3 linked regions of the Drosophila melanogaster genome follow. The protein of the gene in region 1 interacts with the protein of each later gene in a biochemical or structural test. Each region holds a gene or a part of one and is shown on either strand. Other genes may lie near its edges.

Region 1 (7,361 bases):
ATGTACGTACATATGTATGTAATTGAGCATATGTGTATGTATTTATTTTTATGATAATACTTAGAGATATGTATGTATTTATGTTCATATGTATAACAAAATTTCTGGTTTTGTAGTTTCCAAGAATCGACAAAACGTTTTTTATAAAAAGGAATGGGACCACCAAACATACATACATACCTATATATCTATGTATATTTATGTATGGGTGCATATACACGCTTAAAGAAGCGTACAGACGTACCTGCAAATACGATTATCTTGTGCGGATATTTATACACACATATACATACATTCATAAAGGGTCTGGAAAATCACACAAATGTACGTTAAGCAAACATACAGATTTGTTTGTATGTGTAAGCTGTAGAAGCACAGCATGTGTCCGCTTCTTCATAGAGTTTTGAGTAAGACGTTAAATTACAAAAGGCCTGGCACATACACACACAAGTATGTATGTATATAGATGCATACAATATACATACAAACGCATGGGTATCAAAAGAATCTGACGATACCAGATTCAATCCTGCTGTGCACTTGCAGGAAAAATGTTATTTTTCTTGTTTTAATGCCGGACAAGGATACACCATACACATCTACATATGTATGTATGTACAGAGTTGTTTTATAGTTAGGAAATTCATTGCCAAGACTAGTCAACGGTGGTTGTAAAATATAAATTTTTGCAGATACAGGTACAACGGCGTTAAGCATAACTTTAATAAATAAATTTCTTCGTATAGACATAAATATATGAATGAATGAACATATATATGAATATGAACATATAAATACAAATAAATACATATAATACAAATAATACAAATAAATGTATATGTACGTGTTCGTCAATGGACGTATCAAAAAGTATTTATGTATGTAAATATAAGCCCTGTAAATCGTAGCATGAGTTAATATTAATTGAGCTGCATAATATAATGTGAGCTGCAATTTCTTTTCTAATCTCTTACATATGTACATAGCTTTATAGTTCTTTGCTTAAAACGTTTCGAAAGATTTTTATTTTTATTTACATATGTAAATATACATATGTATATAAAACCGTTCAAAGGCATTCGAAGAGCATATGTACATACCTATATTGTAATAATGTTCTAAATAACATTTTTTTTACATACTTAAATTAAAAACAGAATTTTTTTTTAAAGAAAGGATGTGGCTTTCTTAATGTTCCTTATTATTATTGAAATAAACTGGGTATACAAACTTTTTGAATCTTTTATTTTATATTATAACCACTACGAGTACACGGGCGAGAAGGCATTAAAGTATAGTAACATAATATAAAATATACTATGGTATTTATACAAAAAATTTTGTCATAACAAATATTTGTTCGGTATAAAATATATGTACATATATACATACGATGCAAAGTATATAACGGCCACAAACTGCCGAAGACTGTCACACCCTTTTAAAAGTGACTTTTAAAAGTGATGTACCAAAAAAAAGTCATACCCACTTCGAACGATCACAAATTACAAAACCCTTGGAGGTTTGCAAAATACCTCTTTTTGAGATTAAATATATTATCAGTTTATTTCTTCAAAAACACCAAAAATTATCAGTATAACTTCATCACCTACCCATTAATATAAAACTTAACTAGTTAAAATCACCTTTAAAGACGGGGTTAAAAGACAGATGCCACCAAAAAGTACATATGAATATTCTTGGACAGCCATATTCACTGAATATTAATGGCATAATGAAAATAATTATGCTCTCCACTTTATTCGATAAATTTTACTAAATTTGACGACTAATTATGTAGCTTTATCAAAACTGTGGCTTGCCAAAGCTATCTTGTACTAGGCACAATTATATTTAATAGTTCAAGTCGCTTTTTTTTTTAATTACACGCGTTATGAACAAACAAGTCTCCGAAATTGTATTTTTCTTTAAGTAGTGTGTCTTTACTATTAAATACCTTTTTCAATAAACACAGCCAAAATTACTAATGCAGTTCGGAAATAGACGCGTTTCCATCATTAAAGTAGAACATTGATTGACATGAATTTATAAACTTTGTTATATTGCTTTGTTTAAAACATTGTCGTTATACTCACCTAGATCGTCTTTAGACCGCAAAATGTCGTCTAGGTTAAAGCCGTATATCAGATAAAAGAAATTGATTGACCCTAGCCGAATCAATCTAGTTATGCCCGTACGTAATATCGTGTCGGAAATTATAAATCCAATTTGGTTCAAGACAGTGTTGTTGAATTGACCAATACAGAACTAAGGGGCGAAGTGTTGCAATCGAAATATTAATTTTCAAAATTTATAAACAAGTATTTAAGCGCTGCCAGAAGTAACATTTATTTAAGCATCAACATTGCTATAACCACATACCCAAGGGGTTGGAAACATTTTAATTGTTGGATTGTTAGATTACCGAGTCTACTACCTTATTAACATCATATACTATTTAATGAAACTAGTATACCCAATATACCCATAAGATAGGGGTAAAAATTCGATGCATTAAGTACACTGAGTGCAAAAATACTGTGTCGCAAATATTACACCAAACCAGTCTTGATAGGATAGAAAACAGTTATGTATGTTTTCATCAAGAATGCTATTCGCAAGGGCAAGGCTATAATAGATAAATACGACTACAAATACATGTTTGTATTTTAATATACTGGATATACTGGGTATAATGGGTACAAATATCAACGAGATAGCCAAAATCAAGATTGAATCGGGTGTACAAGCTACTGTAAGATTAATCTATATATATATATATATGTATGTGTGTATATGTATATAGAGATAGGCGTTGCCAATAACTTTTGCGTTTTTTGCTTAAAAATAATATTGTATCGCCGAGGACAAAAATTACCCACTGAGAGACACAAACTACTAGCGTAAAAATATCTATATTAACAGCACTGGCATCGAAAAGTATCTTAACTCACGTACGAGTATATGTATTGTGTGGCCATCTTCGATCTGCCCGCCTTCGCCGACTGTTCGTGATCCGTAGGTACACACAGACATTTAAATCACCAATGCACTTGTTACTGTATTGTATTTATGTTTGTGAACCTACACGTATCTATGTAGAATCTGTACAAGTATCTGTGTTTGGACAATGGCATGTGTGAGAGGAGATCCGAACTGCTCCATCTAAACTAACGAAGCATTGCAACAGCTAGTGTTAATGTCGCTCAGTCCACTCGTAAGAAACATAGGAATAAGACGCAGCATTCAAAAAATATTGACTTGTCTTACAAAACTGATTTTCATTGTTCGCTACTTAATATTTAGTGATAAATATATTACTTCGGGACTGATAATCTTATGAATATACGTGTGAGATTTGGCGATACCCTTCATTACTTAGGAAGCCGAGCGCATAAGCTCACACCATTATAATATTTAAGTGATATGAATATTAAATATTAAAATTTAAAACCAACTTTTTAATCAAAGAGTTTCCTTAAAATTGTTTAAGTTGCCGATCAAAAGTGGAAATTTATGCGTGCCGTTATTTGAAATACCAATCTTTTGAAAATGTTTACGCCGACGGTTAATATTATTTAAAAGGATAATTGAATTTATAAAACGACGTCATTCTTGTTGTGGACTAACTTTAATGAAATGGACGCCTACGCGTTACCTACATATTTTCCTCTTGCGTAAGTTTTTATTTGCATATTCGAGAAGTAAGCCTTACAATAGAAAAATATCTACATTTTTGTTTAAAACGAGGAATTTTAAGATTACAGTCCATGAAATGTTTAGAAATGTGTAAGTTAAATAATAACAATTAAATAATAATAATTAAATAATTAAAAAAATAAAAAATAACAATAATTATTGTTATTATTATTATAATAATTATATATAATTACATATAATTATATATATATTATATAATTATTGTTATTATTATTATAATAACAATAATAATAATAATAAAAATAATAATAATAATTTTAATAATTATAATAACTATGGTAACAATAAAAAAGAATAATAATAATAACGATTAACGGGTATAAAAATGTTTATTATTATTATAATTACTATTATTATAATTTTTATGATTAATCAATAAATAATAAACATTTTTATACCCGTTACTAGATTCGTTGAAATGAATGTAACAGGCAGAAGGAAGCGTCTTAGACCATATATAGTATATACATACATGTATATTCTTGATCAGGATCAATAGCCGAGTCGATCTTGCCATATCCGTCTGTCCGTATGAACGTCGAGATCTCAGGAACTATAAAAGCTAGAAGGTTTAGATTCAGCATACAGAGACAAAGACGCAAGTAGCCATGCCCACTCTAACGTCCACAAACAGCGCAAAACTATCACGCCCACACTTTTGAAAAATGTGTTGTTCTTTTCACATTCTGATTAGTCTTTTACATTTCTATCGATTTCTAAAAAAAAACTTTTTGCCAACGCCCTAAAACCGCCCAAAACTCCGACACCCACATTTGTAAAAAATTGTTGGGAATTTTTTTCATAAATTTATTAGTTTATTATTTATTATAAATTTAAGTTTATATCGATTTGCCGACAACATATTTTAATTTTTTTTCTCATTTTATCTTTTATCTATCGATATCCCAGAAAAATTGTGCAATTTCGCATTCACACTAGCTGAGTAACGGGTATCTGATAGTCGGGAAACTCGACTATAGCATTCTCTCTTTTTGAAATTGCGGACGTGCCCGTTTCTGCGGTTAAGAGCGAGCGTGGAAAAAATAATTTTTAAATATCGATAGAAGTCGTAATCTAATTTTGAATTTAAAACGCTGCATTCAAAGATATTGCTATGTTAACATCGAAGCTAGCCAAAAGAAAATTATGTTGGCGTTTACATAAAAATTATATAATAATAAATAGTAAATACATTAAAATACTTAAAAAAATTAGACTCTAACTTTATTGTTGGTTGATCGAGAAGTTACTTGAATCTGTATGTCTGAGATTAATAATCAAGAATTTTTTTATATATCAAATGAATCGGATTATAATAGCGGGGTTTCTTATAATCATGTATCTAATGTCTTTGCTTATGCTTGCCGGTTTGAGGGCGTTAGAGCGATACAAAAACTTTTTAGCGAATCGATAGAAATTTGCAAGACTTCATGAAAAACAAGAGAGACTGTTATAGTCAATTTTCCCGAATATCACAAACCCGTTACTCAGCTAGTGAAATGGAGAGTCCAAAATTTCATAATTTTTCTGGCATATCGATAGATATTGGGGAAAAAAATGAGAAAAATAAAAAAAATTACTGAAGTATGGGCGTTAGCATTTTGGGTGTTTTGTAATTGTTAGGAGGGGCCGAAGTGTTTTTGGCTTACCATAAACATTGACATCAAATTAAATAAAATCAAAACATTTTGCAAAAGTGTGGGCTTGGCAGTTTGGTCGGTTTGTGTTCGTTAAAGTAGGCGTGGAAACATCGGTTTGTATGGATGGGTATGCTTAATCTGAACCTTCTACCAAAGACACTAGAATAACAAGATGCGTAACGCCATACAATTTTTTGGCACACGATTTTTTCGCCGTGGCTCTAGAGGTGGCTCCAGGCTCTCTCGAATTTTTGTTAGAGAGCGAGAGAGCAGAGAGTGCTACAGCGAACAGCTCTTTTCATCGCATAAAGTGATAGCAGACAACTGTATGTGTGCACACGTATGCTCATGCATTGTAAATTTGACAAAATATGCCCTTCACCTTAGAAGTTCTTTGACTTTAAATCTATATTATTTTTGATCAATTGGCACCATGTGAAAAATTCTTGTTTTGCATTGCCTTAACGTTATTATTATATGAAAATAGATTAGAAAGAGCCAAATCTATGTACATATTATCACAAAAATAAATTTAAAAATGACTTTATATATTTAGAATATTTGTCATTAGAGTATTCGTCTTGCGGCGTGTAAAAATTAATTAGGCAATGATTGTTGAGTGCTTGTGTCCGCACTTCGTGCCTCAAGATATGACCAAAGCAAAGACACTAGAATAATTCTAGACTTTTGCAATAAACAGTTATCATATTCTTATGGAATTTATGAAATTCCAGTAGTTATAATAATTTCTATTGTACTTCCTTTAATTATTTACTATATTTATTAAGTCATTTAACATTAAAAGTGTTTCAAAAAAAAATATTTCGCTTTTAAAAAATTGTCAGATGAGAGACAAATTAGAATTAAACATAAATATATATGTGTAAACGGTAGCTAATTCGATCGGCGATTTTAACAAACAAATTTTAAAAGCTTTAATTAAGCGCGAATTTTAAAAAAATTATTTAATTTCATCATATTTCTAGGAAATTGGCAAAAACTACCCTAATATGTACAATGTAAATTCGTTTTTTCGATCAGAATTGATTTCGGCCCGAAAATAGTCTTCTAGCACAACACGCACACATATACGCGTTCTCGTCTCTTGTTTTTACTCACACAAGCAAGCAAATTCTATTTTTAGATTTCTTACGCTCTCAGCGTGAGCGAGCGGAAAGAGAGCAATTTTGGTCGTAGAATTTCTGTCGATTGCCAAACAAATTTTTTACATGACCAGTGCAACGCCCTAAAGCCGCCAAACCCGTCACGCCTACACTTTTAAACAATTTTTAAATTTTTTGTCATTATATTCCTTAATATCTATCGATATCTCAGAAAAATGATTAAATTCACATTCACACTGGTATTAACAACGGGTATCTGATAGTCGGGGAGCTCATCTACATCATTCTCTCTTGTTTTGTGCTGTTTTTGGGCTTTGGGTGTAGGAGCGTCCGGAAACAAACTTAGCAGTGTAGGCGTCACTAGAATCATGAATCATGATTCATCTGAACTTCTGGCATATATATATATATACAAGAGTTCCTTGGCTCTTGGACGGACTTACGATCATGGCTAGATCGACTGTTCAAGAATATATACTCTAAAAAGTCAAACGTTTCTTTCTCCCTAAGTAAAAATGATGATTACAAAAATGTAAACCCAAATACGAGATTTTTGGGTGATGATAGACGATTTATAGTACTTACGCACTTATAGATGATAAACAAAATTTAACAAAAAATTTATTTTATTTCCTATAGGTATTCTGAATTGCAGTTTTTAGCGTCCAGGAGAGCAGCTGCCGTCGCTGCAGCGGCTACTGTTTTACCAGGATCACCATGCATAAACCAACATCACCCAACTGACGTTTCAAGCTCGGTAACAGTGCCATCAATTATTCCAACGGGTGGAACATCAGATTCAATTAAAACTTCAATACAACCACAAATATGCAATGAAAACACCCTTCTTGGAAATGCTGGCCACCAGCACAATCAT
Region 2 (5,962 bases), on another chromosome or scaffold:
CACAATTAAAAATGTGCATAACTCGGAATGGCAGGCTGTTTGGCGGGCGGCAGCGATTTGGCTCAACTTGTTTGCCGTCGCCGGCGACTAACGGTCTTAAGAGTGTCTATCCGTCTGCGAGCAAGTCCGTCCGTCCGTCCGTCCGCTCTGTCCACCCGACTGTCCCCCCCACCACCTTTTAGCTGCCTTTGAAGTGCATTACAATGTAAATGGAGGGGACAATGTTACCTACTTGCAACTCTTTTTCATTCTAGAACACTCAGTGATGCCAACTAAGCGGAAGTTATACAAACGTATGTGCTAGCATTCGATTTTCTTTTGAGTAAATATTTAAAACTATGCTCCTAAGGGATAAATTAGTCAATTAATTGGTGAATAACTAATCAGATGCTTGGTAAGCAAAGTAAATTAATAGCTCAATTTAAACTTGACAGTTTATAACATTTTAATCAGGCTCTTCATTCTAATTTCTGATAAGCATATCATAATGGCTTGCTATGTTTATAGTGACTGCATGAACTTTGTACTTTTAAAGCAATATATGAATTAGTTATATCTGGAAAAAAAAAGCCAAGTGGTCATAGTGTACTGTCATTACATAACAAGAAAGCAAGAACAAGGAGTGCATCGCCGGGGATTAAGTCAACGGAAGCATGAGACGACTTCCTCAAAAGAACTTATTCCAGACTGGTGGCTCAAGGAAGGAAAGGCTTGCAAATTAAAGAGACTTTTTTCGCTATTTCAGAACAGGTATGCATGCATGCATGCATTTCAGCGAATATCTGAGCAAACGAACCGAAAGTAAATATACGTTTTCTGTATAAATGCCCTTGCAAAGGCTAGAATTGCACGCACAGCTCTTGTTGATTGTTTGAGTCATCGATACGCTCACGTATTGATGCATTGATAAGCGAACTGATCGCTTATTCACATACTCATACTCATAGTTAACCTGTTTGCCCATACCCAACCCAATCATATCCATTGCACCCGTAGCACACTCCATAGTTTTGTTATTAGTTAACATCTGTTGGACGACAACAATCGATGCCACGAATAAATCGATTCACATTTTCTTATGAATAATATACAAGGTTCGTTCCCGCTTTCGTTCTGTTTGTGTTCCGGTAAAGCGCGTTTAATGGAAGCAACGACCTTTTAGTCAACAGCCAACAACCAGCAACCTAAAGCCCACCCACTGGCTTCACCTCCTCCTACTCCTCTGGGCTCCTCTCCACTCCAACAGTTGGAAACATGCCCGGCAACAATCCGGAGGAGCAAGGGTGTCTGTCGGGGGACGCGGAACGAATCGCACCGGGTTCAGAGCGCGGCTTGCCTTTCATGTTGTTCAACTTTGTACCTGCAGTTTGTTATTGTTTCGCCAATTGCGTGTGTCGAGGGCTTAAACTCAGCTTTGTGCTGCTAGACTCGCCTGAGATTCTAATGGTGGATGAGCCATTTCTGAGCCTTCATTTTAGGAGGAAAACGGTCAAACTCCGATGGTGGAATTCGCACCCTAACAGCTGTTATTGCCTTCTTATCGGCTGCGTGAATTGGTTTCTCTATTGGTCAACTGGGATTACTGACCTTCCCATACAAAGCATGCTGTTGATAACAACTGGGTTATAAATCACGTTCTTGGAATGACTTAGCATGACTAATTTATCCGTTCAATATTTATAATATTTAGGAATAGATCTAACAGCTTCAAAAATGCAGATTAATATATGATATACCACTTCATCATTTCCTCACTTGTAGAATAACCACTATTGAATCCACAGCTAAAACTGCATTTTTAACGTTCATATTTTCATAGTCGTTGGCTAACATGTTACAGTTTACAGTCTTGGCCTAATACTTTGTTGTGAACGTAATATATCAATCTGTATGAACGGAAGTTATTTCTCCACTTCGACTGGACTCAGGTGGCAATAGCCAGTGTATCGGCAGGCACTCACTTGGCAGCAATGTGATAAAGTCCCGCTGGAGCATCGGCTTGAGATAGGCATTGATCTGTCCGTGTTGATAGTGGCACATGCGCGACAGCAGGTGCTCCACAAAGTCCACCTGGCCCGACTCGCTCCACTGGGTGAAGTACTGAAAGCAGAGTTCCCGCTCCGTTTGGTAGGTGGGCGATGAGTCTTTCTTGCGCACCGGGTCGTACAGCATAGTGGTTGTGAACTGTATGGGTGAAAAGTGGCATAAAGAAGCAAATTAATTATGAGATTGCATTTGTTTCGTTTTTGTTGTTGTTGTTGTTGTTGTGGGGCGACGATGATGTGTTATGGGGTGCTTCGATGTCAAGGGGCGATCGTTAAAACTGGAAAAGTAGGTAGCTGCTGGTTGTGCAACTTTTCTTTAGTTTAGGCTACCGACGACCCAAACTGGGGGCTTAAAATTAGGCAATTAGCTTCGACTACGCTGAGCGTTTCTTTCTATTCGTAATTTTTCTCATTTTTTTTTTATTCGGCGGCGAAAGAGTTTGCAAAGCGGATTTCTGAAGAATGAAAAACGCGACTGGCAGCGCAGCGGTAGAAACAGATCATTCACACGGCCAGTTTATAAATAATAATTGTATCGATGTTTATTTGGTCTTCCATGCTCATTATGCGCATTCTATATATAGACATACCCATTGATGGGCCCCAATTAAATCAAACGTCATCAATTAAACGCTAAAGATCTCGGCAAACAATTTTATCGGCGTGAAGTAAACAAATTGGTCGATTCGAGTGTGAGTGATTTGAGTAATTAAGTTAACTGCAATGCCAGCAATGCGAAAACCTTGCCAGTATTTGTAGTAAATGTTGTGAATATGTATGTACAAACATACTAAGTTGTATTCGGGTCGGTTGCCTTAATTTAATTGCCGTATTATGGTTTTTGTAAGCTTTAGTTGTTTGCCTTTGCCTGGTAACTTTGAGCTGAAGGATGCTACTTAAACTATGCACTGATTATGCTATGAGAAAGGTTTGTGGCAATAAGCAATATGAATGTATATATCCTCTAATTGATAGTTAATAATATCTCGTTTGTGTTTCGCTGCTATTACCAAGAAGCCATCTGTCTCATTAACCAGATTCCACCTTGAATCCGGCGAAATTAAAGCCCAGATGACTCAAGCGAAACCGAGCGAAAAAATTGAAAATAAAAAACGATTTTTTTGGCCCATTACTCGATGGTTTTACGCGAACTGACCTTCAGTAAGCCGCCTATCGTATATAGCTCCACAATTAAATAAGTACTGATTGAAATGTACACGGCCGTACTTTGTGCACAGCGTTTGTTATTAATTGTGTACACAAACTCGAGGCCAATTAACGAAATCTTAAGACTCGAAAACCGGAGATTGGGGATATATACATATATATGCAACGATAATTGAACAAAGGGGATGATGATGATGATGCTGGCGATGAATAAGTAGGCTAATGTCTAATATCCACAAGAGTTTAAGGTTATAGCCCATGGGATGGCTATGTGCCACAGTGTCCGAATTTAATAGAGTGCACGAGTGCAAAATCTGTAGTATATACGAAAATAAAGCACTAGCACACGCACACCAGTGTGTGACAACACGCATAGGTGGCGTAGGTGTGCGTGCCCCTGTGTGTGTGTATGTGTGTGGGTCTATTGAGGCGACACCTTGGGCAATATGTACTTAAATCGGTGTGTTTAATGCATTTAGAAGGGCAGAGATCCCGCTTAAAGCAGGTAACTTAGCGAAAACTCACGGCCTGTGCATTGGAGTTGGTTTCGTCCATTATTTTGTCAGTCTCCATTTTCATCATTGTGTTGTTTGTGTGTTTGTAGAGTTTACTGGCTCGTCGTTTGCTTCTCTCTCACTCGCTCACTGCCAGAGTTTTCCGTCGCACTCGCACTCACGCACCACGTAGCGTTTTTCGCTGATTTTTCGTTAACACGTCTCGCAAATCGCTTTTCGCCAGCGATTTCATATAATTTTTAGGTCGAAGGAAAATTACAATTTGCTCGTCTCGGTTTCTGTAGGACCGCAGGCGGGATGCGCGAAAACGGCGAGGCGAACGCGATGGCAAAGGCAAACTCAACTTGCCGAGGTCCCTCACCAATTGAGCGAATGTCGTATGCAAGTCATTATTCTCACCGCTCCTGGCGGCTTGCACGTTGTTTGTTTTTGCTTATTCAGATGACGCCAACTACTGGACACTCACTTTTCACACGGAGAATTTTATTTTTTTTTACCAGATCTCGCCCAAATACGGACTGCGAAACCACAAAGCCAAAGATGAGTGTGCACTATCGTTATCGATATCTGTCACATATATGAACGGTCACACTGCCACGGGCCAGTGCTGCAAAATACGGCAAGAGCACACAATTTCGTCGTTTCTGCTCTAAATTTTCGAACAGGTTGTTGCAATTACAACTATTTATGAAATGTTTTTAAGTTATTTCCCTTTCAGAGCTATGAATTGTAAGCATTGTATGGCTACCCAACACACTTTGCCAGCTCTGACAACTCTGCACATCCATATCAGCTGATTTCTCGATCGCTCTCTCCGTTTTCTGTTGTTATTTAATTGATAAACTTGTTGCGGGGGGCCACTCTCCAGATAACCCCCCACTTTTAAATTAATAAATATTGCGCAAGTAAGTGCCGTCCAGCTCGCCGAATGCTCACTTTCATTCGACCGCAGAGCTGTTCCCATTCTAATCATTTCCTTGAGCATTCATAATCGAGCTACAATACACATTTTTTTTCAAATTCACAGTGCAACTAACTCAAATCCTCAGGATGGCGTGCCAAAACCAAAATGCCGCCAACTTCTTGAGCAATGGCAAGAAAATTGTGGGGGTGGCTCTCAATTACATGTAACTCAGTGTCATAGTAATCTTGGGTCTGCATGGGTAATCCACGAATACTTTCTTCCGTCGCAGGGACGTTGTGCTGGCCAGGAACGTTCCCGTGCCCAAGGAGCCGCTCGTCTTCCTCAAGCCCACATCTTCGTACCTCCAGGAGGGTCAGCCCATTGTGGTGAGTTCTACAGAGAATTAATTAAGATAACATTAAGATAGTAGCAAGATAGCAAAAGTCCATAAACTGGAGAGTAAACGAATGGAAATTGAAAATCCCTCTTGTGATTTAAACTTTGTATTCCCCCAGTTACCAAAAGTCTTTACCAAGGTGGCATATGAAGTGGAACTAGGCGTGGTGATTGGAAAGCCCTGCAAGAACGTATCCAAGGCAGATGCCATGAGCTATGTGGCAGGATACTGCCTGGCTTTGGATCTAACTGCCCAGTGCAATTTGGTAAGAAGATGGATGCACTCAATCAAGAGCCATTGTTGTAATCAATAATCAATTTCAGGGACCAGCTCGGGCGGCCGGTCATCCGTGGACCTTGGGCAAGGGATTTGATACTTCTACGCCCGTGTCCCAGTTTATACCCATCGAAAAAGTGACGGACCCGCACAACTTGCCGCTTTGGCTCACCGTCAATGGAGACCTTAAGCAAAACGGGTGCACTGCAGACTTAATATTCAAGGTGCCCGACATCATTTCCTACGTGTCCAAGTACATGACCCTGGAGGCCAACGATCTGATCCTTACCGGAACGCCCAATGGTGCCGATGCGTTCAAGGCAGGCGATGTAATTCAGTGTGGAATGGCCGATCTCGCTAAATTGACCTTCCAAGTGGAGGCTGAATAAAAGTGAAGAATTTAATTTTGATGCTATATTCGGATATAATTGGATATGTGCAATGGCTATTTCTTCTTATTACTGGCCACATCATCACAGGCAACCAAATATTTCCACATCGCTGTGCAATCGCTGGTGTTTTTCCATTTGCTGGTCGGGCAGTTGATGTAGACCTTTTCCATGACGCAGGCCAGCAAGGTGGCAGGATAGAAGTCGCAGTCGCCCTTCTTGGGCATCCATTGGAACTCCTGCACCCGCTTCCTAGCTATTTAGAATTA
Region 3 (5,010 bases), on another chromosome or scaffold:
TGGCTGCTGGCTAGGATTGGATTCGGAGTGCTGCCTGCAAATTTATCATATAGTGTATGAGGTTTAAGTGCATTGAATCGGTTGGACGCACTCCGCGTATCAGTAAGCCACACTGCACCCAAATATGCCGAAATGATACCAGTGCCACTCGCATTTCCCCATCCCGGAAAATAATCGCCGACTGACGCGGAATTGGCTGGTCAAATATTTGGACACTTTTATCGCTATTTGCGCCCCCGACAAATGAAAATGCAGTTTACATTGTCGGCGAACCAGAGGCGAACTAAATGAGCAACAAAGGCTAGATCTTAAGGGAGAGTTACTAGGGAAGATCTCAGTTTCGACTGGAGATAAGCTGAGGGAATTGCTATAAAGGTATAAAGATATAAGGGATGCCTTTTACTTTTGAATATTTCAAATAACATAAATTGTATCTTTAAATAAGTTACCCTTCTGTTCTTTAGCATGTTAGTCACTTATTTAGCCAACGAAAAGTTTAAATTGGATTAAATTGCAAAGCTCAGTTAACGAGGAACCATAAAAAAAACTGGTTCAAATTAATATCCAAAGATATCATGGCCACATAACTTTCGATTCCGCCTCCAATTTCCCTGCTTAGTATCTGGTCAGCAACATTGTAATGCACTTTTAAAGCTGCGCAGAACACAGATTGCATTACAAGCGATAACTGAAATTCGTCGCATTTTTCGATTATGCATGCCCTTGTCGAGTGCACTTGAGGGGTTCGGGGCGCGGTAGCTCGAGGTGGGTCTACTGTCTATGGTTGACGGTTCATTGCAGCGTTCCGTTCTGCAAACGTTTCTTTTTCCCGCCGCGGGGCAGCCGAAAAAACCGCATCGCCGCCACAGCGAAAACTCAATGTAATGCGAACCGCTCGACGGAATTGTAGTAAAAATAAAGAAATACAACTAAAACCACTGTCGTTCTTGGCGGCTATCACCGAAGTTCGCGCTATCAACGCCATGCACGTGCTCGCTCGACACCCAGCTCAATCCCAAGGGGGGTCACTGCCTAAACCGAAGGTCATCCACCGGTCGATGGGTTGGCCCTTATGTAATCGCCGGCGTTTGGACGAACTTCAAGTCCGCTCCTCTACGTACTTGTAAGCCGGAACTCCAGTCGCTGCAGGCAGACGTGCGATTCACTTGAAGACTCTGGGAATCAGATGAAGCCGACTCGAGAATCGCGGGAATCAGTGGTCGGGTGGAGACCTCTCGAGCGAGCACACAACCGAACGCTTGCGTCGTCGGCGGCGGAATGAAGAAAACTGAATTATTTTCCACGAGCTGTTTTTGCGAAAAATCGCTCGCTCACTTGATGAGGGGCGCCTAATCGGAGAAGCAGAGCAACTGTTCTCTGCGGTAAACAAAAATTCACCTAGGCAACGCTCAGACAAGCGATGCGTCAAGGGTTTCCCATCAGCCAGGCTGATGATGCAGCTGCTCCAGGTCCAGTTCCTCGCGCAATCACATGATCCCGGGCGGGATTTTGTGTTCAAATTGAATGCTCTTCTAATTGATCAATTCCCAGAATTAGAAACTGAAGCATTCGGCGGTCCACTGCGCAATACCATCAATTGGTGGTTAGTCGGTGGCGATGACTTCCACCGCCTGCAAGTGGCCATATCCGCCGCAGCCACCAAAGCGAACTGTTCCAGTGCTCAATAGCCTGACCCCAACTTGACTCATCCGGCGAATTGTTCGCCGCTCCTGGCGCCGGCGCTTCCTCTTTTCATATTGCGATCAAAGGCCCGTCGAGTGGTTTCGGGTATATGTATGTGTTTGTATATTTTGACTGGACTCCGGCGAGGAGCAAAGGCCACGTGCATTGTGTTAGATGAGATGTATAAATGTAAAACTTACTCGTTAGTGGAAGATTCAATTCGATTAATTTAAATAACTACTAGCTAACCAATGGACACCATCACATTTTCAGAGGAGCAGCGTCGAGCGACATGGGCAGCACAGGTTCCGGCTGGTCGATGATCAGCTTCAGATTCTTGTCGGGCCACTCGAGCTCCAGTCGCTCCTTGGGCTCGCATTTCTCGTCTAGGCCCGCGCTGCGGAAGTCTTCCATCAGGCGCGGCACCAGTTCATCGGGAATCAGGACCTGAATCCAGTAGCCCAGCACGCCGTACGGTTCGTTCACTGTCACCGCCGAGCCGGTGACGGATTCCGCCACCAAAGTGAGCGCCAGATGCTGAGCCTTGAAGGTGAAGTGGCGCCCATGTCGGATGCGATCCTTGATGGCCAGTAGGAGGTACTTGGCCACACCAGGTGCGAGGGTAATCTCAATACCGTCCAGTGAAATGCAGTTTGGTGCCTGCGCTTGAAAGTCCAGGGGACAGGACTTGTGCAGCGAATTGCTGCTCATCGACATGGATTGTGGAAAGCTTGGTTCCTCGCGTTTCATTTGCGTATCCGTCAGCTGCCGATTGTTTTCGTCGTTGGCGCACTTCTCGCTCAGCGCCTGGAAATCCACCTCCTCCTTCACCTCCTTGGTAGGTTTCAGCTCACGGAACGTAAAATCTGCATTAACGCCGGCCAGATCGGAACCCTGCTTCTCCAGATCGTCCTGTAGGTTTAGCAGCGTTTCGGGAAACAGTTCGAAGACGCTCATCTGGCGATCCATGTTAGTCACCAGCCAATCACCGCCAGTTTGCATATCTTGGCGAAGGAAGTTGAGCACACCGCGCCCGTTCCAACGCGATGCCTGCTCAAGTTCGTCGTCAAAGACGCCGACGATCTGGCAGAAGTCCACCGTGCCCGTGGGAGTGTCGATGCAGCCCAACTGCGGGTCCTGGGCGACGAGCAGGTTCTGTAGCTTGGAAGTGGTACTGCCATCCAGACTCTTGCGCCACGGGATGTTGTCTCCGAAGCACAACCCGTTGCCTGTTTGAAAACAATAGCGTCCGATGGCCTGCAACAGGTTCGCCGGCCAGGTGGGCGGTCTTTGGGGCTTTTCCGGGTTCTCAATCTGCTGCTTTAGCTCTATTTCTGTTTTGGCCAAGCGAAAGGTCAACTCGAACCCCATGCCAGACCGAGTGACGCCCTCCTCGCGCAAGTGGACTCGCTCGTCCCCGTGTAGGTCGCTGAGTCCGAAACTAATGTAGTGCCAGTGCGGCGGAACGTTCCTATCCACATCTCCGGGATAGTTGTACATGCTAATGTAGTCCAACGGATCCTGACCGCCCAGCCAGTACTTGAGCAGTGTGGTCACCTGCAGCGGGTTCGGCTGGTTGGGGTACACCTGCCCGAGGTGGTCTATGATGGCCTTAAGGCCCGGCGGAGGCTTCACCTCAGGTTTTTTGTCCAAATTCGCCTCGGCCATTTCATCCAGTTTGATCAGTATGACCTCAGTTGGAACGTTGCGGAATACCACCGCTTGAATATACCATGAATAAAAATACTGCCATGTAAAGTGCGGATTTGACAATGGAAACTTACATGAGTTTCTTTTAAAACCATTATTTATTTTTAAAACCTTTTTTATAATAATTATTACTTTCTTACTTTTTTCTGCTTATTTTTAAAATGTAGAGAAAAACAGTGAAAATATATATCCATATAGCTTTAAACCACCACCATGTAAAATATTGAGTATTTCTTGCCGTGGTATATTTTTACATGCTGTTTATTTCTGCCAACCACCTACGGTCACCCTGTTGACCAACTATTTAATAGAAAATTTGCAAATTTTGATAAACGCACAAAATGGAGCCTTATGATGTCGTCGTCAACCAGCCCGTCGTCATAGATAACGTAAGTGGAGATGGGGCTCATTAAATGCGGGTAGCTTTGTGCAAATCTAGGGTTCCCAAAGTTTTAGCCAGCAAACAGTGACATCACCTACCGCCCGTCCCTTTGTCAACGAGCTTTCAAGCCGTCTTCAAATGGCCAACATGACTAATCCCAGAGAGAATAGCTCCGCAAACGCCAGAGATGGTTCAATTCGGAAGTGAAGACAGCGAAAACGGGGAATTTGGTCTATAAAGCTTGCGTGGAATCCCTTTATCTGCCCAGCACACGCACACACGGATATCTGCGGGCGGTGGCTGCATCCCTGCTGTTGCGTCCCTGCATCTGGAAGCCTCTGTCGAAGTCCATTTGGTGCCCGTACTCCATTGGGTAAACCACGGGAATAGACTCCACATGGGAGGCAGCGGGTCGCTTTAAGCGCTCCAGTTCGGGATCTATCTTCACACCACACTTGCCCCTGTATGTGCTGAACATCTTGGGGCGCAGCAGCTTGTTGTAGGGATCGCGGAATTGATCTCGGTACTTCTGGCACTCCAAATAGAAGGAGTCCACCTTGTACAAGCTGCCGTAGCTGATGTTGGTCAGTCCAACTGGCGGTGCGAACTTTAGTAGCGATTCCCGTTCGTATTGCGAATTCTTTGACACGGTCATCATGTCCACTTCCGGCACACTAAAGGATTCCATGTTGACTATATAGATTTCCTGTTTGCACGTTGAATTTTAAATAAAATAAGCTGACGCAACTAACTAAATGTATTCCACATCACTTTTGACAGGGCTCCGGTGTGATCAAAGCCGGCTTTGCTGGTGAGCACATTCCAAAATGCAGGTTTCCCAATTAGTAAGTGCCGTGGACCACTCACGAACCTTAAGAACCCCTAGAACTAATGCCTTCTCCTGCAGCATTGGCCGGCCCAAGCATGTCCGAGTGATGGCTGGTGCGCTGGAGGGCGACATATTCGTTGGACCCAAGGCGGAGGAGCACCGTGGCCTGCTTAGCATCCGGTACCCCATGGAGCACGGCATTGTCACCGACTGGAATGACATGGAGCGGATATGGAGCTACATTTACAGCAAAGTAATTTGTCCATAAATGTTCCATAATCTTAACTAAATGTTTTAAATGGCATTGACCAGGAACAACTGGCCACCTTCACGGAGGATCATCCCGTGCTGCTGACCGAGGCCCCGCTTAATCCGCGCCGAAACCGCGAAAAGGCAGCCGAGTTCT

Evidence for each region.
Region 2: the proteins of ci (region 1) and slmb form a complex in vitro, tested with the Drosophila melanogaster proteins (one study listed by BioGRID).
Region 3: the proteins of ci (region 1) and Su(fu) form a complex in vitro, tested with the Drosophila melanogaster proteins (2 studies listed by BioGRID).

Annotation. Positions count from the first base shown.
Region 1 is NC_004353.4:52,147-59,507, reverse strand, and holds the start of ci (cubitus interruptus), read left to right. Parts: upstream 1-3,176; 5' UTR 3,177-3,639; coding exon 3,640-3,677; intron 3,678-7,123; coding exon 7,124-7,361. UniProt on the Drosophila melanogaster protein: Has a dual function as a transcriptional activator and a repressor of the hedgehog (Hh) pathway. The full-length ci form (ciFL), acts as an activator (ciA) while ciR, its C-terminally truncated form, acts as a repressor. Involved in segment polarity.
Region 2 is NT_033777.3:21,123,201-21,129,162, forward strand, and holds the start of slmb (supernumerary limbs), read right to left. Parts: upstream 4,286-5,962; 5' UTR 3,795-4,285; coding exon 3,738-3,794; intron 2,185-3,737; coding exon 1,962-2,184; intron 1-1,961. Other genes in the region: CG5793 (uncharacterized protein), read left to right, coding at 4,778-4,854, 4,921-5,017, 5,147-5,293, 5,352-5,693; Obp93a (Odorant-binding protein 93a), read right to left, coding at 5,750-5,949.
Region 3 is NT_033777.3:12,688,088-12,693,097, forward strand, and holds Su(fu) (suppressor of fused), read right to left. Parts: upstream 3,382-5,010; 5' UTR 3,352-3,381; coding exon 1,945-3,351; 3' UTR 1,786-1,944; downstream 1-1,785. Other genes in the region: kar (karmoisin), read right to left, coding at 1-1; Arp1 (Actin-related protein 1), read left to right, coding at 3,735-3,782, 4,556-4,620, 4,683-4,857, 4,917-5,010; CG31347 (uncharacterized protein), read right to left, coding at 4,032-4,463.